4 linked regions of the Drosophila melanogaster genome follow. Changing the gene in region 1 together with any one later gene gives a genetic interaction. Each region holds a gene or a part of one and is shown in the gene's direction. Other genes may lie near its edges. The genes, in order: skd, sxc, kto and Bx.

Region 1 (7,533 bases):
CTGGGAGACCCAAAACGATATACATGGCACTGGAGAAGCGCTATGTGTTCACACTGGAGGATTGCGATTCGGTGGCTCCCATGTATGAGTACCTCATCCGGCAGACGGTGAACAAGCCGTGGATCATGGAGCACCTGCCTCTGGATTTCCCCCAGTATTTCGAGTACGATCGCTGCAAGCAACTGGTTCTGATGAAGATCATCAGTCGTTAAAATGCGTAAATCACACATAAAGACGTTCCGCTTCTTAGATTCAAATGGCCCCTCGATGTACCTTAATAATTTAGTTAAATTATGGCTTTGTTACGTTAGGTTGAGATATCACCGGAATTAAACTAATAACATTGATTGTGACGATATTTTTTTTGGAAAATTATTGGCTGCAAATTGGGACTCTTGCCTTGTATTTCAAGGCTGCGAAAAAAATCTTACAGTCTCGAATGTTTCCAAATCCTCCAATTCTATGTTATGTAAATATGAACATACAACCTTTTTTATGACGAACTATATTTTCCCTTATAATAAAAATGAACTTTTGCGATACAAGACGATTTACAAAATATATTTTTGTGACCTTGCACCAAGTATTACTTGAAGTTCAGAAAAATAAAGCATTTAAACTTTACTTTAAATGAATCATTAAAGATTAGTCAACAACGTCTGCTTTACTGAAAAATTACCCAACGGAATAAATACAACTAACCTAAGCCCTGAACCCGTGAAAAATCAGTAACTGCTGCTCGGGATCAAAGATCCTGCATGGCCAGAATGATGTTCTCCAGAGCCTGTCGAGCGTCCGTCGCCGGGAAATGTTGCAGAACGGCCAGGGCAGCGGCTGTGTGCTTCCGCTGCAGTTCCTTGGTTTTGGCCAAAGCCGGCCCGGCCAGAATGGCCTTGTGGATCTTGTCGTAGTCGATGTTATCGACCGACTGCTTGCCAGCCTCCAATTGAGAATACATGCCAGGGTCGTGCTCCAAGTGGAATAGGACTGGAGCACTAACCAGACTGAAAGTAACATCTAGCGGCAGTTGGGGGCACTGAAAAGGTTCGGCATCCAAGCAAGCCTGCCAAGCGAGCGCCAAATGTTTGCCAAAGCGGTAAGCATGTCGCTGCAGTTCCTCACTCTGTCCGGCCAGCTTTAGCGAAGCTTGGCAGGATTTGCCCAGCAGGCTACCCGCATTAAGGATATTACGGCACTCCCATTCCTCCTCCGGATTGCCGAGAACCTGGGCAATCGGCATTGGCGTCATCACGTCGTGCTCGTTGAAATCCACTCCAACGCTGAGAGATGGTCGCTGGAAGGTTCCTGGCTTATAAGGCAGCGGGTTGTTCTGTTCATCACGCTCTCCAATGAATTCCGACTCGGAAAAATCTCGCACCGCCGACGAGATCAGCTCCACCACCTCCTGGTTGCGCAGATTAGCCAGCTCCGCACTGGAATGGCCCAGAAGATAGTCGCCGGTCAGCAGGCCGATCTTGTTGCCAAACGACATGTCGTCGTAGGTGTCCACATCCTGCCCAGCCTGCGTGCTCGATTGCAGATTAACCACGCTCTAAAATGGGACCAAGTGTAAATATTTTTATAATCTATGAGGCATCAGCTCGACCAATGACATATTGATGTTCGTTTCTTGAGTTTCGTCAACTAAATTTGAGGAAAGTTAAACTCATTTGCATACAAACCACTTTCAGTTTACGAGTAACTTTCGAATGCATTTGATCAAAAACTTACATTGTGCACCAGATGAGATATCCGTATCATCTCGGTGACCTCGGCCAAAGCCCTTTGGGAGTGCAGCACTCCGGCACTCTTGTCCTGCTCCACGTCTGGAACACTGGGTGCATGTCCTGCGGCCTTGGACACCAGGAGCACTATCAATCCCCAGGCTTGCATCGTGTTCTTGCCATTGTAGAGCAGGTGCCTGAAGCGGAAGATTCACATAAATTTCAACGCCCTATAAGCCCTTCAGCACCACTCACTTGGCCGTCTTCATCAGCGGATGGGCGCTGCCCACCAGTTTGCGCAGGTGCAGCGCCACATTGGCGATCTCGTCGCTGAGCAGCCAGCGCAGACTGAGGAAGGATGTGGGATAGCCGACGATGCGCTCCGCCTCGCTGACCGCCCTATTCCAGTCGTGTCTCGGGGGCGGGGTCGTAACCTGTGGACTGGCATGCTTTCCACTGGTCGTCGTCGTCGAAGTCCAGCGCTGAGAAGTGAAAGTTTGCAGCGCAGGCGCAGCTTTGGCCACTTGGAGTGGCTGCAGTTCGACGGGAATCCTGCGTCGCATCTGTTGCATAATCCTTAACCCACTGGCGCGGTACATGGCCATTTTCTAGTTATTTTCGCCTACAACACGACTATTTTTTTCAATTGCTTGTATGAAAATCGCGTTTCTTAGCTCCGCTCAGTTAAATCGTTCGTCGAAAAGTGAAATCTTCGAGGTCCGTCGCTGCTTGCGTCTCTGCCGACGTCGCTGTCGGCGTCACCTGCTGCCTACGCTGCTTCTTCTTCTTCCCGGGCGGCCCACTTTTACAGTTGGTCGCTGCTCCGCTCTCAGGTGGCCGCCAAGCGTTCTGTTTGTTTTTATTGCCCCACGCAGTGTCATGGAATTCCGAGGAGGCGGCGCAGGGGGTGTGTAACGGCGGTCTTGAGCGGGAACAGGTTTTCGCACGGCAGCGCCGCTTCGGTGCACACTTTTTGGCCATGGGGAGTACGGTCACTCTTAGGGATGGGAACACAAGTGGCTGGTGTTAGCGATGCAATTGGATGCTAGTGGTGACAAAACACTTATTTGTTTCCATTTTAATAGATTACAAATTCTTCTATTGTACAATTTATTATAGTTTGTATTCACCTTTAAAAAAATTTGTTTTAAGAAGGATCAAACAATCAGTTGACGGAATTGATTCAAACAGAATAAAAATATCTTTTATTTTACACTTCATTCCAATCACTTTACGCATTCGCACCACTTAAACCATTTCATTAAAAGGTTTCTATAACCGTTATTAAATTAAATTTAAGAGATCCTTTATTTATTTATATATAAGATGTGTAATACCTTTGAAGACATAGAACAAATAATTTAAAAAATATACCATTCTAAATTAAGAAGTATTAATTTGTTGTATATTTTGAACTTCCCATTGTGAAGACTTAGTGTTCTGTGGTATTTATTAGTGCTTTTGTGCCACCTCTTTAGTAGTTTTCTGTCTGTGCTAGCTGGCAACACTGGCTCTGCCGCCGACGGCAAGTTTTCCCTCATATTTGTTGCGAATTGTTATAAAAATCGATCGCAGATTTTTCCGTATGCGAATGCGATAGATAAAGTGGCACAAAATGTAAAGATTCAAGACAAGTTTACATCGGTAGTCGGAAAGAACATCAAAAACGGCGATTAAAACGTAGAAAAGTGATCAAAAATGCAAATGCAAAAGCGATTGCCCGAGAAGTGAGAGGGTGTGCGTGTGTGCTGTATGCGTGTATGCGTGCAAGAGGTGCAGCAAATTAAATATAAATAATAATGCCCAAGTGCCGTTGTTTGACAAATAATTGTGGCGCAAAATCATTAAATGATTTTCAAGACGTGTTTAAGCATTGGCAGCGGAAATGTTTAATGGTTTTTAATTGCTCTAGCGGTCGCTGCCCCGGCGGTGTGCCTATGTAGTGTGTGTGTGATTGAAAGAAAGAGGTGGAAAAGGAGGAGAGTGTAAGAAAGAGGAATATGCAACAACTGTGCGATTTTAGTTATCGATGGCATTTTTTTCCGGCTATTTCGAGTGGCCGAAAGTAAAAATCAGAAAATTTGATGTGTACACACACATTACTGCCCAGAAACAGAGAAAACGGTGCGAAAGGAAAACTACGAAAGTGGTTGCTCTGCCATGTAGGTGTATGGTTGATGCGTGTGTGTGTGAGAGGAATGCTGCTGCCCGTCTATGTATCACGTTTCGCACTCTACATATTTGCGTGCGTGTGTGTGCTATGTAGTGTTGTATAGTGCATAATTTATGGAATTTCGGATTTCCTTCGAGTTTCGTTTTAGTTTGAGATTTTTCCCTTAATTTAATCGATCTATGTGCTCGGTCTCTCTCTGTCTGCCTCTCGCTCAAAATGGTTGCATCCCCAAGAGATGCACAAAGAGCGAGCGAGAGCGAGATAAACAGACGCCGACGCCACTAACGCACACGCACACCAATGCATATGCAGTTAGCTGGTAAAACTTGTTTTCTCCCTCTCTCCTCTCTCTCACTCTCTGCTCAGCAAAAAGAGCAAAAGCCGCTATTCGAATTCGGCCGCTACTCGCCCTCTTCTGCTCTCTCGCCACTCGCCGCTGGTACAACTACACTACATACTGGCTATATACCATATATATGGCCGATTCAAAGCTAGGCGAGCAAAATTTCCATTGTGTGTGGCGACCAGCGTTCGCAGTCGGTTCGAAAATTTCTGACTCGTCATTCGTGCGCAAAAAACACTAAATACAACGCAAGAAATTCAAGCCTGAGTAATAGATTAAATATTAATAAATATTTTGAGCTACTGTTGTTTTTCGAAACCAAAAAATAGTCGCAGCTTCGAGTTTTGTGTGTTCACAGTACGTGCGAGTGCATGTGTTGGTGTTTTCCTTGATTACTCATCTTGATTTGCGCTCTATAAATGTGTAGTTCTTTTTGATTAAACATAAATTGGTTGGGTTTGAATTCGAATACAGCCGAAAACTCTTACCTATTTTATTTTGTCTACATCAACGATTAACGAAAATCCAACGACTTTCATCGTCGTTTGTGTGTTTCTAGAAGTAAATGTGTGTGTGCGGTGTATACTCGCTGCCTGTGGCTGAAAAAAGTCAATTTCTGAGTCGCTCTCTCTCTCTGCTTGCTCTCTTTTTGCATGAATGAAACAGCGAATGAACGAACCCTTGTAATTGTGATCTAGATGTGTGTGTGTGATTGAGTGAGTGTAGCAACAAATAAGCAAGTTAAAACAATAAGAAAATTAACTAATAAATGCATCTCTTTCGGAAAAGAAAACATATGCCAAGCGGGAAAAATGTGTGCTCAAAGTCTAATTCTTCTTATATTCCAGCTTTAACCAACAACAACAAAAGCAACATGCTTAATTCTACAGTATGTGTGTTTCATTGCCAAAGCAACGTTTACGCTAACATACTCTCCCCAGAGAGCAGATAAATACAAAATACACATAATAAAAATCAAAACCAAACATCAAATAGCAAATTACAAACAAAATCTAACACCACAACAACAACCACAAAATATCGAAAGTAAAGAAACGAGACGAAAGAGAGCTCTTCATTATTTGTGTATCCGTGTGTGTCGTCTCTCTCGCGTGTGTGTCCGTGCCTATACCGTTGTGTGTGTGTGTGAGAGAGTATTGCTGTGTGCGTGCAGCAGAATCAATAATAAAAAATAAAAATCCAAAATAAAAAGAGCAGAAAAAGCAGCAAGCAAATGTGCAAAATACTACAGAGTATCAAAATCAACAACAAATAACAACACATCGGATAAATAACAATAATAGCAATACACTATAAGCAAACAACGTTGAGAAAATGAGGTGCTGCTGCTGTGCGAAGAAAACAAGCCAAGAACTATGACGCATCAAAATCATCAGACAAACGGCGCAAGTTTGGAGGATTGCCACACAAACTTTTATGCCTTGGTGAGTACTGTGTTGATTTTCTGGGCAATTGTTTCTTATTTTTCGCAATGGGCTTTATTTTTTTTTGCTGCAGTATCTAGGTCAGTGTTGATGATTCAGGAGGGGTTGTTCTCGAGGGGGCTCATTGGCCTGCGGGGGTGTGTCACCCACTCAGAAACAACAATTTACATTACCGATCATGGGATCATCCTCTTCCCCACCCCTCTCTCGCTCGTAATCTCACACTCTTATCGATTGGTAGCCGAAATGTAGGCGCTGCCGGTCAGACACAGCTGTTTGTCGTTATCGCTGCAGAAGCTTCGCAAATATCCTACAGAAACTTAACATGAATGCAGCCACACGAAAATATGTTAAAACCAGATATTGAACTATTTATCATTTCTAATGTTTTACATTATGATGTCATATTTCATTCTTAGGGTCAATTGGCAATCTCTTCTCTTCTTTAATATTTATACATAAAATTGGGGCAATGTACGCACAAAAATTTTGAATGTTGTGATGTTTCAGTGTTTAATAAGTAATTTACTTATCTTTTGGTATGTTGATATCCAACAAATCATTAAATAGCCAAAGTTTAATCACTAAATTGTAATTTTGTTGTTTTTAAAGCAATCAAAACGGTACTGAATTTTTGGTAGAGTGTTAAATTCACTGACCATTTTTTAAAACGTTTAAATTTGTGTATTGCATTTAATTATCACAATTATAAATATACATTTTATAAATGCTCATTGAAATTTTAAACATGTGGATTGTCAAGACACTTAGCTCTTGGAGTATCTAAATAGAATGTTTAGTATGAGGCGTGTAGCTTTCAGTTTTCGGACACGTTCATTCCAACATAGTAAATTTCACGATACTTGTTATTTCTATAAACCTGTAGTAACTGAAAGTAGGAGAATCCGGGTGTTTACTGTAGCAGTAAAAACGGGTGACTTTGTGGCAGCCCACAGCGATTGTTGCTCTGTGACTTTGTGGGTAGCTTTGTGACTGCGGCTCGGTGACTTTGTGGCCCATAACAGGTTCTCCTTTTCCCCGAGACCCAAAGTCGAAACAGAAAACCCAAGACCCGCGACTGAAAACTGAAGACTCGGGGACTACGACTGACGACTAGTTTGTCGGCCCAGCTAGTTAGTGATTGTGCTATTGTCTCTCCGTTTTGGCATATTTCTTTAATGAATCTCGCGTCGAAAGGAGGAGATAGCAGAATGAGAGGGGACGCAGAAGCCGAAAAAATGAAACAGAAAAGCCGAATGAAATAGTCGAGGAAGAAGTGGAGGCGATGACGACGACACGACAATGCGTACAATACAAGTCAACGTGCTTCTGCTCCACTTCCCCGCTCTCTTTATTCCTCTGTGTCTGTTCATGTGTCTGCTTACAACTCTCTTGCAGAGTTTGGAGCAGCAAGAGAGTTGGATAAGTGGGGGGAGAGGGCCGACGCCAACGAAATAACGAAACAATAACAAACGCCAAACTTTCTCTGAGCGAGACGGAGAGCGTGGCGACAGAGCGAGACGGCGCGAGAGAGCAATTTGAACTTGAGAGGCACGCGAGTTAAGTCCGTGATCGAGGGTGGAGCCTTTTGTGAAGATATGATGTGTAAATGTATGAAGGTTTTTAAGTTTCAGCAGATAGTTGTAGTGTGAAGATTTCCAATAAAGAATACGACTGACTTTCTTGAAGTTCAAAATCAGTATGAAGTTTATTGTCAGAGAGTGGCTACTCGAGTCCTCCGTTTTCGTCTTATACATAAGTACATAGGTTCTTAATTGTAAGCATAATGAACATGCCGACTCGGCATGTGGCTGGCTAGCTGGGGACAATGTTGCAGTGCGACTTTTG
Region 2 (7,481 bases), on another chromosome or scaffold:
CGAAATCGCTACAGAAGCCTCGTCTGTTCATTTCTTTAAAATAGCTAATAAAAAGGCTTCTTAGCTCAACATACATGATACAAAATTTTCAACAAATTTAGTATGCCGACTTCCCCAACTATCATATACCCGTTACTCAGCTAGTTGAAATTGCGGCAGTTTTGGGCGGCTTAAGGCGTTAGAGTGGGTGTCTCAAAAATTTTTTGGCAGATAGATAGAACTTTACAAGACTAAAAATGTTATGAAAATATATCCAAAAATTATTCAAAAATGTGGGCGTGGCACTTTTGCTCGGTTTTAGGGCGTTCGAGTGGGAGTGGAAAATAGTGTTTTGGCAAATCGATAGAAATTTACAAGACTAATAAAATTATAACAAAATATCCAACAAATTTTCAGTCTTGGGCGGTTTTAAAGCCTTAGAGTCGGCATGACAAATCAATAGAAATTTACAAGACTAACAAAATTATAAAAAAATATCTAAAATTTTGAAAAATTGTGCGAGTGGCAGTTTTAGGGCTTTAGAGTGTGCGAGGCAACAATTTTTTTTTGCAAATCGATAGAAATTTACAATATTAATAATAATGTAAAAAAAATCAACACGTGTTTTTAAAAGTGTGTGTGCGCCTTTGTCCCTAGAATCTGTATGCTGAATCTTAACCTAGCTTTCAATCTAGCTTTCATAGTTCCTGAGATCTCGACGTTCATACGGACTCGGCTATTGGTCCCTGATCAAGAATATAAATACTTCATATGGTCGGAAACGCTCCCTTCTGTCTGTTATTTTTTAAAGAATATTTACGAATATAACAAATATTCAAGAATAACGAATTTTTTAATATTAACATTAGCAGTATAATTTTAAATAATTCAAATACTGTAAGCATATATAATTTCCAAATGAAAAATTCTTAAGCCTCAATGCATTTTCATATATAATTATACAACTGCTTATACTTACCTGCGATTTTCGAGAACGGTGCAACGTCGTGGTCGGATGGGACTTTAACGTGTGGGCCGCTCTAGTGTGGTCGCCACACACAACTCCCAAGGGCAAATTAAATCTCGAAACATTCGCTAGGCTGGACGTTCAACAGTGCCGTTGCAGGATTAATTATCGACCTCACGTTCATAAGCAGTCCATTCGCTCGCTTCTCCTGTTGGGGTATCAAGGAGGTGGTCACAGTCAGTGACCACGAGGCGATCCAGGTCGAAATAGGCACAAAGGCAATCGAGAGCAGGGCTAACACGCAGTAACCTAAGGCCTACCGACAGAACACCATGAGTCTAGAAGAGTCCGCCGGCATTCTCCATTACCTGACGGTCAACGAGGCGAACTTGTGATCGCAGCAGCGGATAAAATAGTAGCGAGGGTGGAGGAGGCCTGCGGCCAAAGCATGCGAATGAGGAAAACGAACCGAAGGCACCACACCCTGGTTTTCTGGTGGAGCGAGGATATTGCCTTGCAGCGCATCATCAGCCTACGCGCAACGAGACTCGTACAAAGAGCTCGTGGCACCACGCGTCTGGAAGCATGCCATACGGAATACAAGGTCACAAAGAATTCACCGAAGAAAACGATTAGAGCCAGCAATCGTGAATGCTTTCTGAAAGTCTGCGTCGCAGCAGAAAGCGATCCATCTGCTCTGGAAAACATCTTTAACGTTCTGTTCCTGTTCGGTCTGCCATTCCCAATTCCCAGATCGGGCCAAGCGGAGACGAATTGCGGCCTGTCACGGAGCCCGAGATCCTAGCGGCTGAGAGGAGTCTTAAAACCAAAACGGTACCACACCCGATCGCATCCCAAGCAAACTACGAGAAACAGTGCTATGTTTGTTACCGCCTAAATTTGAAGGTTTTTTTTTTGTTTTACCAATTATTTTTAAAATATCCATGAGATCTGTTACTAATTTTTTTATTTCGATTGAAAATCATTGTAGTATTTAAGTTTAGTGAGTAAAATAATGAGAAAGTGTCAGAAAATAGAGAAAAGCTGGGACAAACACGAAATGTGCTTATGATGCTATTATTGTTACCGCAACTGTAATAAAGAGAGTTTCTTGACAGTCTTAAAAGCGTGTAAACTTGGAATTTGTTGTTTATTTTCTTGTATATTTAATATTTTTAATTTGTTTTTTGATTTATAAGTAAAATAAATATTGTTTGATTATATTTTATAAAAAAAATTGCGTTTAATTAAGCAAAAAACCCTTTATTTTTAGCTTTAAAGTCAAAAATTCAACTTATTTTACAGTGTGTAAACAGTTTCTTGACAAACTGTATGTGATATGTGATTCTAGAGACATAGGCGCCGCGCAAGTTTGTTAACCCATGTTGCCATGTGCAATCCAACGCACACATACCGGACAAAACTGCCACGTCTACACTTATGTAAAATGTTTTATTATTCTTTCATATTTTTATTTTCTTTTAAATTTCTATGAATTTGCCAGAAAACATTTTGCCATGACCACTCTAACGCTAACAATTTCAAAATGTTTTGAAATTTTTTGATTTTTGTATACAATTTCTATTAATTCGCGGCCACGGCCCTTCTTACACCTTCCAAACCGGTCAAGACCGAACTTTTGATCAATTTGAAACAATTTTGTTCTTATTTTATATCCCAGTATTTAACGATATCCCAGAAAAATGATGAATGAATTTCGTGTTCCCATTTTCACGAGCTGACTAACGGTTATCTGATTGACTCGACAATACCATTCTCTCTTCATTTGAAATTATATGTGGTATATCATTGGTATAACATTGATATTATGTTAATATGGTTTTTGCCGCCGTAAGAATAGGGTATAAGCTATTAAGTTGCTGTTCACAGTGTTCAATATTTGAGTATGTAAATATTTGATTTTCTCTTGTAAATCGTATTAACAGCTGAGTGGATGTTTGAAAATAATTAAATCAGGTTGCTTTTATAACTTAATGCAATTCATATTGATATTTTACTGATATTCTCTTTCTTAAAGGTTTAATCATGTAAACAACATCACAGTGTCTTTACTTAAGGGTGGCTTATTGATTTTAGACACATGTTATCAACGTTGGATTTTAATGCATGTTGAACAAACACGAATAAATATGCAGTCTCAAGGACAGAGCCATCAACTGCCGTCCGCGGCCCATATATTATTAGATCAAAATCCGAATTCAACAGGCAGTAACCTAGTCGTAAAACAAAATGACATTCAATCTCTTTCATCAGTCGGTAAGAAATAACCATACATTTATATATGTATGTACATACGTTTGTAATTGATTTTTTTAAAGAATACATCTAGTTAAATACTTTATACATTAATGCAAATGAATAAGTTTGACAGCGAAGACAACCACAATTAAATTAAGAAAAATCAATAAATCAAACAATTGGTTATGCCTGGCCCGAGATAGATATGTGTCTAATGTGTCTCATATTAACAACATATTAAGAGATGCATATGGTGTACGCATCTAAAAATTCACACAACATAAAAATCAGTGTTCAGTGTCTGAGCTTATTTCGTGTAGTTAAATTAATTTTTATGTTGGCATTGCTTCGATGAAAGATACCAGAAAAATGTAAACGCAATATTTTTGAAAGAATTATTGACATGGTTAAAAAACAGACGATTTCCGTATTCTAAATGTGCATCCCTCATTAAAGCCGTATCTTGTAAGGGGTATCTGGTAGTCGAGAAACTCGTCTATAATGTTATCTCTCACTCCATCTAAAATTAAATTTTTTATTGTAATTTTTTTTTTTTCTGGCTTAAAGCTTACTTTGCACTTAAATTTTTTTTCGTTCTGCTGTAGCTTGCACGTTTTTCCTTTTTTAAATTTTTGACAACATATATTACATATATGTACATATATTATTTGGTATTCATTGAAAAGTTCTTCGGTGCTTTTCGGCCTTCATTCAATACAGTATTTTCTTTTAGGGAGAAGCTTCCGCTTCTCCGCGAAGTTGGATCAATCTCGGATATTAAAATTAAAAAATTGTTAGGTTTAAAATGGCCATTTATTGAATATTAACATACTGCACAAAATAAGCTGCGGCATAAAAAACACCTTTTTGTTTTCTAAAACGATTAGAAAATTGCTTTTTTTTTATATAACAAATTTAAGAATCCGGTGCTGAAATACCTTATTGGTTTGAAACCTCTAAACTGTACGAACAAACTACAGCAGACAACTTCGGATGTGTCCTTTGAAATTTCAAGGGTTCGTTACCCTGCATATCCGTTGGTTAATCTGCACCAATTGAAGTGCTTAACACTAGTCTAATTTGTTTAAACTGTATTATTTCTAGAATATCATTGACTGCGTAGTGAGAGATCTTGAAAACTCATTGACTCGGCCCATTTTAGGGTAGTCCTGAATCTGGATGTGTATGATCTATACCTGTATTTCAATCTGCATACATATGCATGTGTCTGCAGTTCTCAGTGTGTGTCTCAATCATCTTTCCTTGCTGTACCTGAGGAATTATCTCTTGAGCATAGTATCTAGTTGCCTTCTCTAAAGTATGAAGCTTATACAGATTACTTCCTCTGATAATTGCACGAAATAATATTCAGTGTGAAGAAGGAAGTTTAAAAATAAGTTTTGTTTTCATTTTATTATTTGCCTTGCTATGTTTTATTGATTTAAAAATCTGTTGCGGAACTCGACCAAAGGGTACGGCCAAAGACACCAGAATAACAAGATGCGTAACGCCATTCGATGTGGCTCTAGAGCACTATGGGGCATTTGGCCTGTTTTTTTTACAATAATGTGTTTTTCACAAGTATGCAAATTTGAAGTATTTTAGTATTAATACATTGGAAATACGTTAAACTGTTATGATACAGCCCGCAAAAGTTAATTTTACAATGCACCGTTATAATAACAGCTGTTAAAGTCGGCTGTTGCGAGCATATATCACGTGGCTGCTTTGCGCGCAAAATTTAGCTTAACTTTCAAAGTGTTAAAATTTAAAAAGAAGAAGAAGGAGAGTATAATTTGAAATAGATAATCAATCTTTAGGTTTTTATTATGTGTTGTTATTAATATATTGTTTATTGTGTGCGCCTATTTCTAACAATTTGTACATTTAGCAAGTGGTGTCAACATGTAGTTGTTTGAAAAAATTTTAAACTTTGAATAGAGCTACAACAATTTGTTCAAATTTGTTCAGTAAGTGTTTATATCCATGTTGTAGTGTGTTCAATTTCTAACTCATATCAGGTAGTCTCTATGTGCGTTTTTTGCGGTTTCTTGAGAAATTTCATTTTTTAGGGAGCAATATCTCGATTTCCAATGCTGCCCTGCTGGAAGTGTGGCGCAAGCAAAAGGTTGTTCGTCAAAAGGAAAATTCTATTTGCACTTTTATCAGTGGGCATATTTCTGATAGCAAGCTAGACTTTAATGAACGATTAACGAATAATATTAATAACGAATGATTTCAGTCAATCTTTTGCGAAATTGGAGAAAATGCAATCGAAAAATAAATGAATTTTTGAAAGTTTTTCAAATTGGTTAGAAGAACACCTAGTCCTGAAGGTAAAGGAGAAAAATAAAAAGGAAAGGAAATTAGCTGGACTCCCGAAAACGTCATATTATTTAAAAAATTTGAGTGGCCGAAGACAGCAAGCAGATGAACTCGTAAGGGCGCAGAATCACAACGAATGTCTTTTGGTTCAAGCTGTACGGAAGTGCTGCCTGCGGGATCTTGCAGCCATACTTAAAATTCTTTTGTTGAACCCAGCCAAAGCAAAAACTATTAGTAGCTTCGCAGATGTCTTTTACAGAGCAATGGATACTACGGATCCCATAATATCATCAATAAATTTAAAGAGGCGAAAACATAAGCGACTATCTCTTCCACCAGAAGTCATTCAAATGTTAGCTTGCGAATTTGAACCTGATAAAAATTCTTCAGACTCTGCCGATTGTGAAGAGGAAGACGGTTATGAATTATACAATATTGAAATTAAAAATAAACTTTAAAAATATATTATTAAAAAAAATTATAATATAATATATTAAAAAAAAAAAAAATTGGGGCGGAGTTGGGGCACGGCCACTTTTTCAAAATATTCCTGGAGGCATGTGTAACGCATAAAAAAAAATTCATCCAAATATCTCCAATAGTTTAGGAGGTATTAATTTTTGTAAAAAAAAACAGGCCAAATGCCCCATAGTGTAGAGGTGGCTCCAGGCTCTCTCGAATTTTAGTTCGAGAGCAAAAGAGCTCTTTTCTACGCATACAGTGATAGCAGACAACTGTATGTGTGCACACGTATGCTCATGCATTGTAAATTTGACAAAATATGCCCTTCACCTTAGAAGTTCATAGATATTATCTATCTATATTATAGATCTATATTATTTTTATATATATATTATTTTTGATCTATATATCTATATTATTTTTGATCAATTGGCATCATGCGGAAAATTCTTGTTTTGCTTGCCTTAACGTCATTATTATTTAAATATAGCTTAGAAATAGTTATAGCCGAATCATAATGTCACAAAATAAATTTCAAAAATGACTATATTAGAATATTTGTCATTAGAGTATTCAGCTTGCGACGTGTGAAAAATTAATAAGGCATTGTTGAGTGCTTGTGTAAGCAATTTAATGTCTTCTTTTTGGAAAATTTATGTTTTAAATTACAGTAGTTATCATACTTCCTTTGCATTTGCCTTAATTATTTAGTATATTTATTAAGTCCTTCGACTTAATATGATTTATGTAAATGATCGATTTATATTATTTAAAATGCACATTAGATTCAGTTGTTTAGTTGCAGTTTTTTTTGTTTTATTCCAATTTGATATTTTTAAACAGCGCGCAATTTCATCATATTGCTACGAAATTGGCCAAAACTCCCCAAATATGTAAATTCGTTTCTTTGATCAGAATTGATTTCGGCCCGAAAATCGTCTTCTAGCACAACACGCACACATATACGCGTTCTCGTCTCTTGTTTTAACTCTCACAAACAAGCAAATTCTATTTTCAGATTGCTTACGCTCTCATCGTAAGCGAGCGGACAGAGAGCAATTTTGGCCGTCACCAAATTAGGTTCTCCGTTAGTTTATGTGTACATAAGAGCTCAACATCAAAATCAAAAATGTTAAAAAATCAAAAATTTGACCTTTTCAATTTTTTCTAATTAAATTTTTTTACCAAATATTATAAAAAAACATTTGCCCAACCAATATTTGTTTTTGTCGTTTGTCCGCCTTTAAAAAACTTTAAATTTTTTTTTTCGTTTGCCTCGCTTGAATATAACTTATTTCGTAAGCCCACCTCTTAGAAATAAATATTTCGTTTGCCCACTGTTAAAAATAATTTATTTCTTTAAAATTAGTTTTAATCGTTTGACCATCCTTTAAAATTAGTGTCTATCGTTTTCCCATCCTTGCAAATTAGTTTTTATCGTTTGTCCATCCTTTAAAATTAGTTACCTAGTAACTAGGTACAGGCTTAA
Region 3 (7,366 bases), 1.2 Mb from region 1:
TTGAGGGCCTCAAAGTCCTCCACACCGAGGCGCAATCGCTTCAGCCGGAGATACTCCGTCTCCTTCTGGGCATGCTGCAGACGCTTCTCCTGGCGCTGCGCCTCCGACAAGCTCTCGTCCTTCAGCTGAGCCTCCAGCTTTGCGAGGCGCTGCTTTCGCTCGCCATACTGCGTCACCAGGTTGCTGTAGTAGTTCTCCAACGTCACCTTGGCCTTGGTGGCCTTGTCCAGTGTGTGGTCGCTGAATCTGATCGAGGCACCGTCCGCGTCCTGCGTTCTGCTGCTCATCATCTAAGCTGGGGTTTTTGTCCTGGTCACCTCGGTCCTATTTGGGGCTTGTGTGTGTGCTCCCTGCGATGTCGGTGCGTGTGCGTGTGTGTGGTGAGGAGTTATGCACTTGCCAATGCACACACACTGCTTTCTTCGCCCGTTTCTTGCCTTTTTCCTCGGTAATTTGTTGAAATTCCTCCCTCTGCTGCTTCTTCTTCAAGAGCCATTCGCATTTTGCATCCCCAACAAAGCAAAGTTGGCTGCGATCCAGTGGGGCTATCGATAGCTAATCGATTGATTTTAGAACTTTAGTGCTTTTGGCTCGCAGATAGTCATGACAATTAAGCTTTCACCGACAATTGTATAAAATTTATGTACTGAAATTACGTTACTTATTACTTACATTGATTTTTTTAATTAAAATTGATTAAATTTAAATTTATTTAAATTTACTTTAAGGTCATGTTATTATTTACTGTAATTCTATTAAGAAACAAAGCTTAAACAATAGTTAAAATATCTTAGCTTTAACCTTTTAGCTTGAATCTTGCCAAAAGACTCTTACTTCGAAAATTGTCATCACTGCCACCAGTCCAATTAGTAAATAAATAGAACTTACCGACTTGGGATAAATTTTTCCATGTCAGGCGTACATAAACCAGTTGCCTTTGCTAATCTGGCCATTTGGCGCCTGTGACGGTCCCGCGCAATGAGCATAGTCAGCTAATAATGGCCCGCATCACCAGTATTCTGGACTTGGACCCCAGTTCTCTGTTGTTCATCTTCAAGCTTCTAAGCTTGGAGGACCAGTTGCACTTGGCGCGATGCTGTCGCATTTTTAGGGATGCCTTTCTTCGCCTGCATCGCCATGATTTCCAGGATGTTGTTGACAAGGATATGAGTATAAGGACTCTGGAGGATTGGCGCACCTTTCTGTGGCTCTGTGGCAGTCGCATCGGTACACTGGAATCCCACTTTGACGATGATCACCCGCTGCAGCTGCTCCCGATGATCAGCAGACACTGCTACCGACTGAAGTCCATCTCTATATACAATGCAACAGTGGCACGGGCGCAACCGTATTTATTGAGGATGAGCTCCCTGGAAAAGGTGCACGTGCGTAACTACAAGAGCACCAGCAAGGATCTAATAAAAGCCATTGGGATACACCTTCCGCGGGTCAACAGTCTGAGCCTGGAGAGCTTTGAACGCAAGGAGTGTAAGAACTATTTAATGTTCACCTTATCACAACAATATTATTTAATTGCTTCTCCCTTCACAGTACAAGAAGTACGTCAGTTTAGCGAGATGCTGGAACTTGGCTTGTACGACGACGTGACCGCCTCGGAATTCGCAACAATTGTGAAACCCATGAGGAAGCTGCGATGCCTTCAGCTGCGCAACGCCAAACGCTTTCTGACTACCAGCAATCTCAGGATGCTGGCCACCAACTGCCGCCACCTGGAGAAGCTGACGTTCAATGACTGCGACGCCGATCTGTTGGTCCTGCCGCAGTTTGTAAACCTCAAGTACCTGCAATTATACTGCTCGGAGGATATGAAAACGCGCCTGTTCAAGGCACTGGCCAAAAGCCAGTGCTCCATTCAGTTGGAATACCTCATCCTGCACCGCAAACGCTGGATTGACGAGGAGCAGGCGCAGTACATCAGTGCTTTGAAGTGTCTCCGGTGGCTGGTCTGCAAGCCTCGTGACGATCTGTGTGTTCACCACTTGGCGAAGTTGAGTCGATTAGAGTGCCTTTCCATACAGTCCGCTCGTGAGATTGGAGAAACGCAGCTCTCCCTTTTGGTGGCCAACAATGAGCGCCTTCGGTATCTGAACATTTGCTATTGCCTGGGCATCACAGACGCCTTCGTCTTGGACACGCTGGCCAGCTTATCGAAACGCTCAGCTCATCAAACCCTAGAGCTATTTGCCGCGGCCACTGACATTAGGCATGACATCATGGAACGGGTGAGTAATATTTAAAGCACATACATATATTCGAAAGTCCTTATGTTAATGTGACACTTTGTGCTTCGTTTGCAGCTACCGCACGAATTTCCCCTGAAAATGCTCTGTTTGAACTTCGAGTGCAGCGATGGAATGACAAGCGGCGGACACTTTTATGCCGATGAGCCGGAATTCGATCGCCAAGCCTTGTGAGGCCTTATTCGTTTAACAACGAATGTTTCTTCAATCATTACCAAAAATACAACGTAAATTATTTAATATTTATACGCAGCTTTATTCGTGATCTTACCACTTTGAGTGGTATTTCTTTTGTTAGTGCACAACGATGTAACTTTTTCACTGCATAATTAAAAAATTACGTCATATTTAAAGTACTGTATCAGGTTGATTGGGGATGTGTGGCTGAACATGATAAGATTACATTTGTAATATTTACAACCATTTAACACTTAGCTTAAATTCGATTGCATCCGCTAGATTGTTCGCGGGATGTTATCGAACTATCGATGGCTCATCGCATTTTTTCGCCCCACCACTGATATTTTGATTTGTTGTTGGGTTGGCGAACAGAGGAAATCGGGAATTCGCTAAGAAAATCTGTTTATAAAACGCAACTAGAGGGCCGCGAAGATGCTGTCCATGCTGCAGGAGAAGCGTCCGCTGAAGCGCACCCGTCTGGGTCCGCCGGACATCTATCCGCAGGACGCGAAGCAGCGAGAGGACGAGCTGACGCCCACGAATGTGAAGCACGGATTCACGACGACGCCACCGCTGTCCGATGAATTCGGTACGGCCCACAACTCGAATGTGAACGCCAGCAAAGTGAGCGCATTCTTTAGCGGCGTCCTGGCCAAGAAGGAGGAGCTGATGACCCTGCCGGACACGGGGCGCAAGAAGCAGCAGATCAACTGCAAGGACAACTTCTGGCCCGTTTCGCCGCGTCGCAAGTGTACGGTGGACGCCTGGTTTAAGGACCTCGCCGGTAACAAACCCCTACTTAGCCTAGCCAAACGGGCTCCATCGTTCAACAAGAAGGAGGAGATCTTCATTACTCTGTGCGAGAACCAGGTGAACATGCAACGCGCCACCTGGTTCATCAAGCTGAGCGCCGCCTATACGCTTAGCTTCACCGAGTCTAAGAACAAAAAGCGATCCATTTACGACCCGGCTGCCGAGTGGACCGGCAACATGATCAAGTTCATGAAAGAGCTGCTTCCCAAGCTCCAAGAGTATTATCAGCAGAGTGAGTACAGTCCTTAAGTTCTATAATCTATCAACTCCCTTATTCAACTTCTTGATTTTAGACCACGACAAGTCCTCTTCGAATGGCACCACTTCCGGAAGCCTGACCGCCGCCGGTAATGGTCCTGCCAGCAATGGCTCCACTGGCACCAGCTCTATTAACTCCGTCACCGGTAGCAGTGCTTCCACGAACGTAATCCCGGTACCCAGCATGGCCAGTCCACTGCCACCGATTCATAGCCCAGCTAATGGCCAACAGGCAGCTCCTGGCGGAGGAGTGAATGCCGGCAGTGTCATGCCGACGACGGGAAGCCTTGGCGGAGTAGTCGGTGGGCCGGGGTCTTCTGTGGTAGGAGGCGCAGCGGGTGCAGGAGCTGCAGTTCCACCAGGCTCTACAATTTCTGGAATTGGAAGCCAGTTCGAAGATAGTCGCAATGCGCTTAAGTATTGGAAATACTGCCACCAATTGAGCAAGTACATGTACGAGGAATCACTTTTGGACCGACAGGAATTTCTAAACTGGATCCTCGACCTTTTGGACAAGATGCGTACGCAGGCAAGCTTCGACGAACCGTTGAAGAAATTGGTGCTCAGCTTTGCCCTTCAGTACATGCACGACTTCGTCCAGTCGGAGCGTCTTTGCAGAAAGATGGCCTACATAGTGTCCAAAAAACTGGCCCAGTTGCTGAACACTGTCGTAGAACAGCAGACCATCAAAGAGTTGGACGAGCCGAAGTTGCAACAAGATCCCTATGAGCTGGCGCTTCAGGAACAAATGAGTTGTCCCCATCATCGGGATATAGTGCTGTATTTAAGCACGATCCTACAGATCATCACAATCGAGTGCCCCACAGCTCTGGTCTGGAGTGGGATAGCAGCTCACCGAGCACCCTCCTCGTTGTTGGGTAGTCCGCTGGACCATTTGCCTTTGGCGCCCTCAGTCTTGCCGATGCCCACACGCTGTCCGCGAACCAATCACGAGATTCGACGTCAATTGCGGGCCGCCGAGTCGGACATCGTATTGCGCACTCAGCATGCAGAGCAGCGCTGGTTTGCAGCCAAGTGGCTGAGTGCCGGCAAGAATCAATACACCAGTGTGCTGGCTACACTGGACCACTTGGACACGCACTGCTTCGATCGCATGGAACACAATAATAGTATCGATACCCTATACGCACAAATATTTCCCAGCCCAACTGTCAGTCGCAGGCGGGAGGAGGATCAGGTGGAACCTCGTCCGCCTTATGAACCCAAACAAGACAAGGACACGGTACGCATTCTGTGCGAGTGGGCTGTGTCGGGGCAGCGTTGGGGAGAACACAGAGCCATGGTGGTGGCCATTCTACTTGACAAGCGCCAGATCGACGTGACAAGCACGCCGGCGGATCAACAATCCAGTGATAAGGATGACAAGGACTCGCTAGCTTCGGGCGCCGGCTTAATTGATGGCCTGCCTGTGTTTCAGCACGTGTTAATGCACTTCCTTGACCACGATGCTCCCGTCCTCGATGAGCACGTGAGCAGTCCACAGCAGCGCACGGAATTTACCAACCTTGTTCAGCTGTTCAGTGCATTGATTCGCCACGATGTCTTTTCGCACAACGCGTACATGCACACTCTAATTTCACGAGGAGATCTGCTCCTGGAGTCGGTGCTGGTGATCAAATCAGGAACAACGGCCACGAAAACATCGCCGCCACCTCCAGCTCCACCACCAACGACGACGCACGGTTTCGATGATGACGGATTCGGCGGGGGCCTGGACTTCAAACACAACGAATTTGATGATTCCAATGTGGACGACGATTTGGACAAACTGGTGCAAAATATTAAGGAGAAAGGACAACAGCACGAAGCTCCAGACAGTCCCAAGATTGGTCCTCCAGGCGATGGAGAAACCAATCCTGGCGGTAGCATATCGCGGCATTACGTGTACACCAAGCACTTCCCCATCCCCCAGGATGATCCCAGCATGAGCAGCTACAGCAGTGAAAGCAACCAGCGATACATCCTGCTCTTCGGAGTCGGCAAAGAGAGGGACGAGAAGAAGCATGCTGTCAAGAAGATGTCTAAGGAAATTGGAAAGCTTTTCACAAAAAAGTTTAGCATAGATGTGGCGGCGGCCGGTCATGTGAAGAAGCACTCGCGCAACGAGTTTAACTTCGAAGCTACCACGTCCAAGTGCCAGCAGATGGCTTATTTCGACCAGCATGTGGTCACAGCCCAATGTGCGGCCAATGTCCTGGAGCAGCTGAACGGATTCGCGTTAGGGAACAACAACTACCTGCCGGTACAGGAGCACGTGGCGTTCCTCTTTGATCTGATGGAGCTGGCTCTTAATATCTACAGTCTTTTGGAACTGTGCGATAGTCTGTTGAAGGAGTTGCCTGAGGTGGAGCACCAGTTGCAGCTAAAGAAGTCAAACCTAGTGCGCAGTTACACCACTTCACTTGCCCTCTACATCGTCAGCATCCTGCGGCGCTACCACAGCTGCCTTCTTCTTTCACCGGAGCAGACGCTGTCTGTTTTTGAGGGAGTCTGTCGTACCATTCGGCACGTATCGAATCCGAGTGAGTGCACTTCGGCGGAGCGCTGCATTATTGCCTACCTGAGCGACCTACACGAGTCGTGTGTTTTGCTCCAGGGAAAGGAACAATCCACGGAGTACTACCAGCAGCTGCAGTGCATCAAGCGGTTCAAGGACATATTCAACACTCCAGAGCAGCTTGAGTGAGTTTAGATCGCAAGTTCTTCCCCAATAATATAATATATAATATTAACAAATATTACCATTTTTTATTTAGCCTACCACCTCAGGGTTACAACCCACTGTTGTTGCAGGAGCTTTTCATGGCCCCTCGACGCGGTGGTAAACTGGATCCTCACTGGCTGGGAACCCTGCACGAGTCGCCGGCCAATGTATACAGTTTCGTGTCTAACGCATTAATAGCCGTCTGCCGAGAGACGGACAACGAGCGGCTGAACGATGTGGCCCTCGCATGTGCCGAACTGACCGCCAGCTGCAACGTCTTGTCTGAGGAGTGGATATACGCACTGCAGAGTCTGTGCAGCGGCAGTAAGAGTCCGCGTTATCCGCACCTGGGCGGACAGGTCGACATTGGACAACTTAAGACTCACAACGCCCTGGCCGTGTTCGTATGCATTCTGGTGGCCAGACATTGCTTCTCACTAGCCGACTTTGTAAGTAAGTTCGCCCTGCCTACATTGGCCCGATCGGTAAGCGCTGGTGGAGCCGAACTGAGTGTAGATGCAGAGGCAGGTGCTCGTCTTACATGTCACTTGGTGCTGAAGCTGTTTAAGACCTTGGAGATTCCTCAACCTGGCATGTACTCGGTAAGCACTTCCCCGAATCCACTGCACGCTGTGGGAAACGACTTTAGCATTCGGCTGAGCTGCGATCGTCATCTTCTGGTGGGTGCCCATAAGACCATTCCCATTGCCGCAGTGCTTGCCGTGCTCAAGGCCATTCTCATTGTTGTGGACAATGCGGCGCTTAAAACACCATTGGCTTCCGGCAGCGGCACCTCCTCTGGCGGATTGGGCGGAGCTTTTGGAAGCGGCAAGCGTAGTGGCTTCAATACACCGGTCCATCCGGGAAGCACACCCAAGAGCAACGAACAACGACCGGCCGATCTCAGCCAGATCCTGGGCACCAGCGATTTACAATTGGGCAGCAGTTTGACAAGCGAACCCGAAGCCCTGCAACAGCCATCGGTCGGAGGAATGGAGCAGATCTCGCTGTTGGAGTTCGCCCAGGCGGTGCTCAAGCAGATCTGCGCCCAGGAACACGTTCTGGAAAGATGCCTAAAGAACGCAGAGCAACTCTGCGACATGATAATCGACGAAATGCTGACCGCGAA
Region 4 (10,356 bases), on another chromosome or scaffold:
CCTTCGCTTAGCAAACTAAACTGTGAAAACGCCAGCGGGTCTCCACAAGGAGGAGGCACCCTCGGGTATTATACCACTGACCGGAATACGATGAACCGCCCACCAGTCCACCAGCTTACCAGCTCACCAGCTCACCTGGCACGTGAAATTTGAATATTGATTGGCTTTAATGAGTGTCGTTGGTCGCGCAATTAGTTTGGTAAAGGCTTTTTCGGTGACCGGGGGACGGGAATGTGGTGGGCAGGAAGGAGCTTAGGGGAGCGGAAATGAGGGGTGCCCAGGGTGGTTCCACAGACGGAAGAATTCCGGATTTCCCAGCCTGGGGCACTACGAAATCAGAAGTGCGTTTAATGAATAATGTGTAAAATAATAATTATAATCGAAGCCTTGCTTATATGAAAAGACAACGTTTAAAGCTAAAATAATAGAAGACAACTCCGAACCCTTGGACAAACATGTGTTTCAGTTCTTGATGGGACTATTGCTCTAATTGCCCTAACTTACTTCACTTTCCCGAAGAATAGGAGAAATCCTTAGTGGACCATTGTTAGGCACAAATCAGCGCTGGATTTAAAGACTTCGATCGTGGTCTAACTAAACTAATTACATATCAGTCAGTCAGTGGGTGAGTCAATCAATCAATCAAACTGCCAGCAGCAGCAGCGAGATCATTTGCCAGCGGCCTATCTCTGCATCGTTCCAAAATTGGATGCAAATTGAAAAGCATTTTGTGGGAATGTAATGCATAAATTAATTGAGCGTCCCCAGCACACAGAGAAAAACCGGTGGGGGTGTTTGCCAAAACTATGAAACTGCAGTAGGGGGGGTTGGGAATGTGGAAAGGAAGGCGGTGGCCTGATAAAGCATTCATGCAGCCACGCCCACTTTGGCAGTGAATGGGCGTTCGCTGGTGGCAATGCAATTGAAAATGAAATTCTAATATGGACGCGCGCTTTTCCGAGCAGCGTTTAGCATTCGATTTCATTTGTCTAAACTAAATAACAATGCAGTCTGCGCTGCCACATTGGCGTTGCATGTTGCAGCTGCCAAAATTGAGTTTTGATGCGCTGCATACCCCATACCCCATACCCCATTTCCCATTTCCCGGCCTGCACTCCTACGGTCCACCAGTCCGGTCCTGTTATTGTTTGAAACGTCGCGTTAAATTTACATAAATTGATTTGATTGAATTTTTATGAGTCGGCGGCGCAGCAGTCCAGTGGCAGCCACCCAGGCATCCACTTGCACCAACCCATCTGGCATTCTGGATGCCCCCGTCGACTGGCCGGCGGGCATCAACTGCTGATGACTTTTCGACCCGCCCTCCGACGACTCACTGGCGATGGGAGGGGGCACGTGGGTATTGGGGATCGGAGGCGACCGTCTAATTAAAGTCATTTCCAGCAGCTGCATAACCCCTACACCCACAACGCCCACTCTCTGGGCCGTGGTCAAGTCGAGGTCACAGTTGGCGCTACATGGCGCAGGGCTTAATGCGAGCCATTTGGCCCGGTTGTCCGGCGATGGGCAACGGACAGGGGCAACGGACAAGGGACGACAACGGACACGGACGAGGGCAATCAGCGAAAAGAGAGGCGGCCAAAGGCAGAACCAGACACGGCACACATTGTGTGTACAACTTCTGCGGCGGGCAAAGAATGATGCACTGTGAAAAATAAAATGTGAAAGTACTTAAAGTTTCTACTGAAACTTTGAAGAGATTCGCTGACAGGCAGATTATTTTAAATTCCAAATAAGCTTCTTACTTTGTGCCAAGGACATTTAGGAACACAATTATCTCTTGTTTTTATATATAAATATTAAATATTATTTGTTGTTTCTTGAAAAAAAAAATGATGCAATGATTCCCCGCATTGTTCAGTGTAGTGAGTGCATTGCGGCATCGCTGGCATTGCATATTTTTAGGGTTTCCTCGCTGCTTGCTGAAATTTGCACATTGCAACAAACTATTTAGCGTTGGCAAGGGATGGGGGGCGCCAATTTGTCATAAATCTCGTTATTTTAAATCGCCGCTTGGCATTCCACGAAATTGTGTATGGGTAAATGGGCCTTTTGTTTGTATTGATTTGTTGTTGTTGGCTGCTCGCTTTGCTGGTTTCTGTTAACGTCAACGTTATCGGGCGACAACAGTTGAGGATAATACATACATACTATGTTGGGGGCTACGAGCACTATTTGAAGAGAGTCCAAAAATATGGGATATTATCGTAATTGGCCAAAAAAAAAAATTCCAAGTTCCTTAACATCGCTGGTTGAGTTTCTTAGCAAGGTGCTGAACGAAAGGAGAAAGTACGAAAAACGATCGCTAACTTTTTATTGGGTGATTAGCAGCGGGTCATTCAACGAGGCTCGTTGGTCTAGAGGTATGATTCTCGCTTCGGGTGCGAGAGGTCCCGGGTTCAATTCCCGGACGAGCCCAAGTGAAGAAGTAGTTTTTTTTTATTCAGCTGAAAATATGTCATGAAAATATGAATATTACACCATTTCATTGTGGAAATTGCATTTTCAAAGGGGTATTAATATTTTGCATAGTTTGCGAATTGTGTGCGAATCCAATGTGCACTTTAGTGGTCAGCCCAAAAGTATGCTGCATAATAGTGATCTTTTGTACACTGACGCCATCGCAGAGGCGCGCATTTCACAACACTGTGCCACAGCTGATAATTGCCGTTACATTTTGCCAGTGGCCGACACTTGAAGAAATTTACAATAAGGAAAATGCTATAAAAAATTTATTTGATATAACAAAAATACAATTACCAAACTATTTTTATGAGTCCAATGCATTGATTAGTGCATCTTATTTACAAAAGAGCTATTTTCTTTTGAGAACTTAGTAGCATACGATAGTTTACACGCCATAAAATGTTATTTTGTTTGTGTATTGCCAACACTGCCAACACTGCTAGAAGAAGACTCAGTAGCTTTCTGATCTTTCGCGGGTCATTTTTGTAAGAAAACTGTTGAAATCGAAGGAAACAGGAAAACATCGAAATGGAGTACCTCTACAACGCTAGTATGCATTGCGAAGATGAAGAACGCGTCAATTTCTACAACATGGACAAGTTCTTCGTGCCCCACGTGCAGTCGATTGAGCTGGAGCAGCAGGCGATCCTGCGGCAATACGTGCCCCAGTACGCTTATCAGTGGCCCTGGGGATTTGCCCCTTCCGCTTACAGTTATTACCAGGGATTCGGTAGCCTTAATGTACACACACACACAAAACTCCGGCGATGGAACCTTGAGTAATAACTATATCTTCTCCTGTCCCCTTGCAGATGATGACTATGGACATTACCAAAACCGAACCCGGTCTCGTCGGGCTTTCCTCCAACCAACAGCAGCAGCAGCAGCAGCAGTCGCAGCAAAGCAACGCCGGCATGAACAGCGGTGGCCAGAACAACGGGCCCAATCCCAATGGCAATGGGAACGTGGTCAATGTGGTCAACTCCGGCGGTGCCGGTGGCGGCAACAATGGCAACGGGAATGTCCAGAGCATCGCCGCCGCTGCCAACAATAATAACAATAACAACAACAACGGCAGCCAATTGTGCGCCGGCTGCGGCAAGCACATCCAGGACCGCTATCTCCTCCGCGCCCTGGACATGCTGTGGCACGAGGACTGCCTCAAGTGCGGCTGCTGCGACTGCCGCCTGGGCGAGGTGGGCTCCACGCTCTACACCAAGGGCAACCTGATGCTCTGCAAGCGGGACTACTTGAGGTTAGCTGCGATTTAAGAAATACTAAAACCATTTGATAGTGTAATATACCTAGAAGTATAATAGACGATGGTATTCATTAGTCATGTTAGAAGTTAAAAATGATACCAATTCTTGAGAACTCAGGTCTATAATGCTTATAGATAAAGTATTCATTATATTCTGTGACTTATTTTTAGTTTTATAAGACTTTAAGAAGCTTTCTTGCTAAGAGTAATTTATATTTAAACAGTACCTATTCTACCTAAAGCTTTTTTTTACGCATATTCAATTTAATAGCAAAGAGTAAAGATGTTTACTTAAAGAAGTCAGAACCATGTAAACCATATAAACTTCAAACTTTTTACTAATCTGTTCATAACTTTTCCCCGCAGATTGTTTGGCAACACGGGCTACTGCGCCGCCTGCAGCAAGGTGATCCCAGCCTTCGAGATGGTGATGCGTGCAAGGACCAATGTCTATCACTTGGAGTGCTTCGCTTGTCAGCAGTGTAACCACAGGTGAGCATCGAAAGGAATTTGGCCAAACTGGCCCATTGCCCCATTGTGGGGCAGACCATACATCATCCATTGTGTGGGAGAAGCGACTAAACGATTTCGCATGCATTTTTATGGGCAATTTGCACAGAGATTCGCATTGAAGGTGGCCACATGAATCCCTTTTTAATCTTTGGCCCATCGGAGCGGGCCCAAAGTGGCACTTGAAGTTTTATTAACGTGCCGCCAGACAGCAAATTGCCATCGTTTACAAGCTAACGGCTAAACAAACGGGGTGGGAAGAATGGCCCTTTAGTGTCATACGTTTTCTATGAAAACCGCATAAATTTCGCATTGAACAGAACGAACCGAACGAACCGAACCCTTTTGGGTGCCATCAAGTCAACGCCCAGCATTCCAAGGCCTCAAATATTTTATTGGACTTGGCCAATTCGTGAAATGTCACTCTGGAGAGCTTTAAACTGCAGCCCGATTGCCCGGTGGATGGGGTCGCGTCTCATTCTTCCATTTTGGCCGGTTCGTTTCGTTTGGTTTGGTTTGGTTTCGTTTTCGTTTCGGGTTTCTGCATTAATAATGAGGGCGCACATATGCCTTCGTGGCTCCCGGTCCACCAGAAACCTCCGGCATAGTCGTCGATTGTGCAACGCAACAAGGGAGCGAACATTAAATATTAAAAGCGCCGCCACACGGTGCTGGCTGGTAAAAAATATTGAAATAAATGTTATAACATATTGGCATATTGTGAGAATCGTCTCCACCCGTTTGGCCACCGCTCCTTATCCGGGAATCTCCCCGCTTTTTGCGCTCCTGCTGGCCCTTTGTTTTTGCATTGCCGAGAATTGGCTTTAAAAATGCAACAGGAGCAACGAACTTGGAGAAGTTCACCCTTGCGGAGATGCCATTATGGTTAACTTTTGACTTTTCTATAATCCTGTTTACGCTAGAATAATATAATATAGAACTAATGCAAATTTAGCTTAGACTAATATCAAAAGATTGAGAGTATGATGGGTCATGGTTATCCCATATTTCACCACGTTATCCATAAAAATGACCAGTGGAGATGCATCCCCTCCTGTTGCTAATCAATTTTTCACGTAAATTAATTCAATTGCCGAAAAAATCCATTGAGGCGTGGCCACATGGCCAGCGGCTGCTTCGCTCCGCCTTGTTGGTTGGTCGGATGGTTCGAATGGCCACATTTAAAATGCGGGCTTTCATTTGGCAAACAAAAAGACTTTTCCTGTTGAGTCCTACCGCTGAGTCCTGGGTCCTGTTGCTGTTTGGGAAATGCTGCAAAATGCATTGCAGTCGTCGGTGAGGTTTGCATAATTTCCTGTCGTCAGCACTGGACGACGACATCCTTGCTCTCCTGCGATTGGAGTCGCATCCAAGTCAAATCTTTCGTCCACGCGAATTTTTCACAATTTTTTTTCCCCCCCATTTTATTTTGGTATGTGTGCTTCCTGTTGACAATTTGCTGTTGGTTTCTTGTGAACGACGGGGAATGGAGCCGGAGAGGAGGCGAACGAAATGCCCGGATGTGCGAGTCCCGCACAGAGGCACTCACTTATCAACATGTCCGTGTCCATTTCCATAGCCATCACCATTGCCATCGCCAATGCCAATGCCATCGCCATCGCCATCGCCATGTCACAGGTGCGCTCAATGCCAGGCCAGCGGCAAAAGAAGCAAAAGTTTCGACTTTGTTGACTCGTTTTCATGGACTTTTGTTGCCCTGTTTTGGTAGATAAACAAAGCGCTTTTTTGCCCGCTCCGGCCGGCCAGATTTCTGTGCACTGCTCCCTGCCACGCCCACATGGGCCGTCAATCGATTTGGCCACGCAACCGAAAGCAGCGGGCCAACAAAATGTTGACGTAAATCAAAAGCCAAATTTCATATCCGCTGTAAGTCTGCTGTAAGCTGATTTACTCAGACTCCTTACCAAAACGGATGCAGTGTGTTCCCGTGCCCCGTCCTCCTCGGGGAATCAAACTTTAAACGTTTCTTTTTTGCATACGCCGGCGGAGGAGGAGGGCGTAGAGTATTGCATCAGGATAGCAGAATATGTGATGGAAAGGATGGATAAAGTTCGAGGCAACTTGCAAGTTGTAGCGGATAAGAAAGTAGTAGTAGTAGTATCTCTAAACGTTTACCCCTTGTCTTTTTTATTCTAAGGAATAAGCACAATCATCGTTGGTCTTTCTCACTTTTCAATACCAGATCTAGCTGGTTTCAAAGGACATCAACTCGTCTGCTCAACGCGACTCCATCTCATCCCCAAGTGAATCGTATTCTTTTTTCGGCTTTTTTCGTTTGTAATGCGAGCTCCCTTTCGGTTTGCATCGAGTGTATCTGTTTGCTGTTGGCCGGAGTGGGCGTGGCATCCGCCTCCGCCATCCGTACAGGTGCTAACATAAATATTTTGACAAAGGGCTCCATGCCGGGAGCCAACTTTATTTGCAGTTGGCTGAATGTACACTCTCGACTCCGTACTCCAACCGAAGTGGAGCCAGCACTCCAGGCTCCTCTGCTCCAGACCCATGCTCCTGCCACACCAACTGTTGCTGACAGCGGAGCGACATTGCCTAGCGCTTATCTGACTTCCTTGTCCTTGTGCTGGTCCTGTTTCGGTCCCGCCCCGTCTGCCATTCCCTGAGTAGCTGTCCTTGTTCTTTGGAACCGTTTTGCTTTTGTTTTTAGACGACAGTTCCTGAGTTGCCGGGCTGGCTGGCAGCTACAGTCGCCATAACCGCTGTCAATTGTCATCGCTCATCGTTGCTGTCGTTGTCTTTGTCGTTGTGTTTATGCCTTTGATTCCCCCCCACCGATTTCTGGGTCTGCCTAAGCGTGTGGAAAAATCGTTTCCACTTCCTTTGCGACTTGTTGTGCCGTAGTACTAACCACTGCCGTTTTCCGGTTATTTCAGATTCTGTGTGGGCGACCGTTTCTACCTGTGCGAGAACAAGATACTCTGCGAGTACGACTATGAGGAGCGCCTGGTCTTCGCATCGATGGCCAATCATCCGATGCTCAAGCGACACGTCTCCTCCTTGGGCCAGGGCTCACCGACGGGAGCGGCTGGGGCGCAGAATACCGCTGGTGGATTGCTGGGCGGCGGACCCGGTGGCGGCAATGTGAATGGCGTGGGCATGGTCAACGGACCGCGCACCCCTGGCGATCACAATAACAACAACAATGGCCCACAGACACCGACCGGCGGTGGCTCACCGTTTGCCGCTGCTGCTGCTGCCGCCGCCGCCGCTGCCCATATGAAGAATCAACTGGGCGCGTCCAGCTAAAATAAAGCCCTGGGCATGGGTGCCGCTGGGGCTGTTGTGCCGGGATCTGGAGTCGGCGCTGGAGTTGGAGTTGGAGTTGGAGCGGCGAGTCAGCAATTCTACTCGGGCTTCGGGCTGCAGCATCAGCACCAGCATCAGCAGCATCACCAACAGCAGCAGCAACAGCAACAGCTCATGGGATTGGGCCTAGGAATGGGCGGCGGTGGAGGAGTAGGAGGAGGAGGAGCAGGATCCGCCGGTGGACCAGGCGGAGGGGCAGGAGGAGGAGGAGGCGTTGGCAGCATCGGAAGCGGCTGCAAGCGCTACCAAAGAAAGTTTTACAACCGCAACTGAGGAAATCGACGGGCGAGAAAACGCTAGCGGAAAGGATGCAGAAATCCAGAATCGATATTCAAATCTTCGTTTGCTTTGACTGAGTTCAAGTTTTATAGTTTTAAAGGCCTAGTTTAGTTAGCCTACAGAAAAGTACTTGCTGAATTTGCAGACATTTTTAGATCCTAACATTTAAGAGACAATATGTTTACTTAGTTCTATTCGAGAATAACCGCCCCATTTGTTTTTAAACTAGTTTTATTTTCGTTTCCACTACATACTGTACATATTTTCCTTGTAAACTGTTGACGTATTAGCGGGATCCTTTTTTTTTTTTTACATACTCCATATAGATATATTCGTATTTATCTATGTATATGCATAAATAATTTTATTTTCACGCTCGAAGCGTGCGGTGCCAAAAGAAATTCAAAGCAGTGCCAAAAAGTTAAAAAAAAAAAAAAATAAACGAAGGACTAAACTGATGAATGTGGAATGAATGACAAGGGCGGCCTGGTGGAGAGAATCGGATTTGTGGACCTGCGAAATCGAGAGAGCTAAACATCCCCACCGATCACTGTTCGATTTTCCATGTGTCCTTCGAATCCGAAGGAGCCGCAGGATCGTAGAGTAGAGTCAGATGAAGAGAGATAGATGATGAGGAGCTAGAGGAGCTAGAGGGCAATTGGCAAAAGTGAACTTTGATGTGTAAATATTGAGACATTCTGCACACGACTTAAGCACACATGATTTTTGTTCTAATTCCATTTTAAGTCTGTTGGAGCAACGTTGTTGATTATTATTTAAGTTTAGTTTAGTGCGAGGCTAAAGAATGTTCTTTCCACGGCGAACGTTGTATAGAAGTAGCTGGAGCTGGATGATTTCTAGATGGATTGTAGATGAGGTATGATGGCCAGATCCACGATGATCCAGCGCGTTAGATGTAAAGCGCCTAAGATAGGTCGATGTAAAGTTAAGGATTTGTGTGCGTGCGTGTGTATATCTATAACCAAGCGAACTAGTTACAATATGGATGTATTTATTAATCCTTTTTTTTTTTTGCAATCTAATGTAACACTAATCAATATGCGTAATTAGCGTTCGAAAGGAGCTAGCGAATATACTAAGTACGGGAGAAACCAAAGTGTGTGTATAAGCAACAGTCTATCATCTACGAGCGATAAACAATACTACCTATCTATCGAATTACCGAAACTATGTTAAATATCGTAATAATATCTAATAATCGGAAATAAGTAAGAGCGATTATCCAATATTTTTTTTTTTGTATTGTATTGTTAGAGAGCAGGCATAAAGTTAAATCAAAAATATCTAAAGTGTAAGATAAACCCGCTTAGACTTATATATACGTGCATATATATACATTACAAAAACAAACCATAATCCGAGTTTTGGCCGGCAATCAGTAATAATGAAAGCAGCCAGAACGATTGCAAGTGAAAGAAATCAAAACTAAAGAGAAACGAGAGAAAAAAAAACATAAAAACAAATGCAAATGCAAAAACAAAAGGAAACAATAAATGTAATTAACAAACATTTGAAAAAATTAACCCGCACTTGTGTTGGCATTCATTTCATCGCGGGCCAAGGGATTCCTACCATGGTATAGTATGGTATATGGTATATGTTATGGTATGGGGTTTTTTGGGATTTGGTCCTCTTTACCACCACCACCACCCCCCCTCCCTCCAATTGCCAATTGCAGTTTGTCGCTTGACATTTGTTGACTCTTTCGCTTTGACGGCCATTAATCACGGCATTGTTGCTGCCAATTTGAAATCCACAGCCCAGACAGCCAATCCGCACCAGAACGGAATGGTATGACGTAGTGGAGTGGTGGAATGGCGGCCTGATAAATGATGCCTCATATTTTTGAGCCCCGGGCACCGTTCCGCAATTGAAATAATAAAAGCTATAGCCGGAGCTGTGGCTGAACCCCTCCAGCTACATCAATAGCTACAGCCACATCCACATCCACCACCCGAGCCATTGATTAATGAAACTTTAAAAGGGAACACGCGTCTTTTGTCTGCGACGACCGCAAAAACTTTGCCATGGAGATAGCGCATCTTTTCAATATACGATGCAAAAGTTTGCCGTCTTATTCGATGCGGATTGGGATCCAAGGAGCCATCAGCCAACAGCCACCATGCAGGACCAAGACGACGATGCCGATGCCGATGCCGCCGCCACAGGCCATAACAATAAAAGTCATTTATAGATTTCGATTTCGGGCACATGTGAGAGGAGGACGCCCGATGGGGGGACTCCTCCCCTGCCCCTGGGGGGCACCACTATACAAGGATATATATAACTATAGTTTTGGGCTGCTTATCAGCACTTTTGGTCACAGGACACGAGGGTGGGCTGAGAGGGTGGATGATTTTGGTTTCTTTTGTCTTTGGCTGGTGTCATAATCAGTATCAGTGTGCTTATGAAAATGTCCTTTGTTGCCCGAAATGCTTATCAGCATCGCCCGCCCA

The links.
Region 2: of skd (region 1) and sxc, changing one enhances a phenotype caused by changing the other (phenotypic enhancement), as found in Drosophila melanogaster (one study listed by BioGRID).
Region 3: of skd (region 1) and kto, changing one enhances a phenotype caused by changing the other (phenotypic enhancement), as found in Drosophila melanogaster (one study listed by BioGRID).
Region 4: of skd (region 1) and Bx, changing one suppresses a phenotype caused by changing the other (phenotypic suppression), as found in Drosophila melanogaster (one study listed by BioGRID).

The regions. Positions count from the first base shown.
Region 1 is NT_037436.4:21,023,104-21,030,636, reverse strand, and holds the start of skd (skuld), read left to right. Parts: upstream 1-3,202; 5' UTR 3,203-3,497; exon of another isoform or gene 3,498-3,709; intron 3,710-4,432; exon of another isoform or gene 4,433-4,507; intron 4,508-5,088; 5' UTR 5,089-5,616; coding exon 5,617-5,685; intron 5,686-7,533. Other genes in the region: CG10584 (uncharacterized protein), read left to right, coding at 1-212; Pdss2 (decaprenyl diphosphate synthase subunit 2), read right to left, coding at 746-1,552, 1,732-1,921, 1,980-2,329. UniProt on the Drosophila melanogaster protein: Component of the Mediator complex, a coactivator involved in the regulated transcription of nearly all RNA polymerase II-dependent genes.
Region 2 is NT_033778.4:5,304,430-5,311,910, forward strand, and holds the start of sxc (super sex combs), read left to right. Parts: upstream 1-2,858; 5' UTR 2,859-3,069; coding exon 3,070-3,223; intron 3,224-7,481.
Region 3 is NT_037436.4:19,833,803-19,841,168, forward strand, and holds the start of kto (kohtalo), read left to right. Parts: upstream 1-2,811; 5' UTR 2,812-2,873; coding exon 2,874-3,486; intron 3,487-3,547; coding exon 3,548-6,215; intron 6,216-6,289; coding exon 6,290-7,366. Other genes in the region: trc (tricornered), read right to left, coding at 1-290; CG32221 (uncharacterized protein), read left to right, coding at 999-1,488, 1,552-2,243, 2,319-2,435. UniProt on the Drosophila melanogaster protein: Component of the Mediator complex, a coactivator involved in regulated gene transcription of nearly all RNA polymerase II-dependent genes.
Region 4 is NC_004354.4:18,563,397-18,573,752, forward strand, and holds Bx (beadex), read left to right. Parts: upstream 1-2,909; 5' UTR 2,910-3,015; coding exon 3,016-3,228; intron 3,229-3,299; coding exon 3,300-3,742; intron 3,743-4,114; coding exon 4,115-4,240; intron 4,241-7,167; coding exon 7,168-7,540; coding exon of another isoform or gene 7,541-7,873; 3' UTR 7,874-8,330; downstream 8,331-10,356.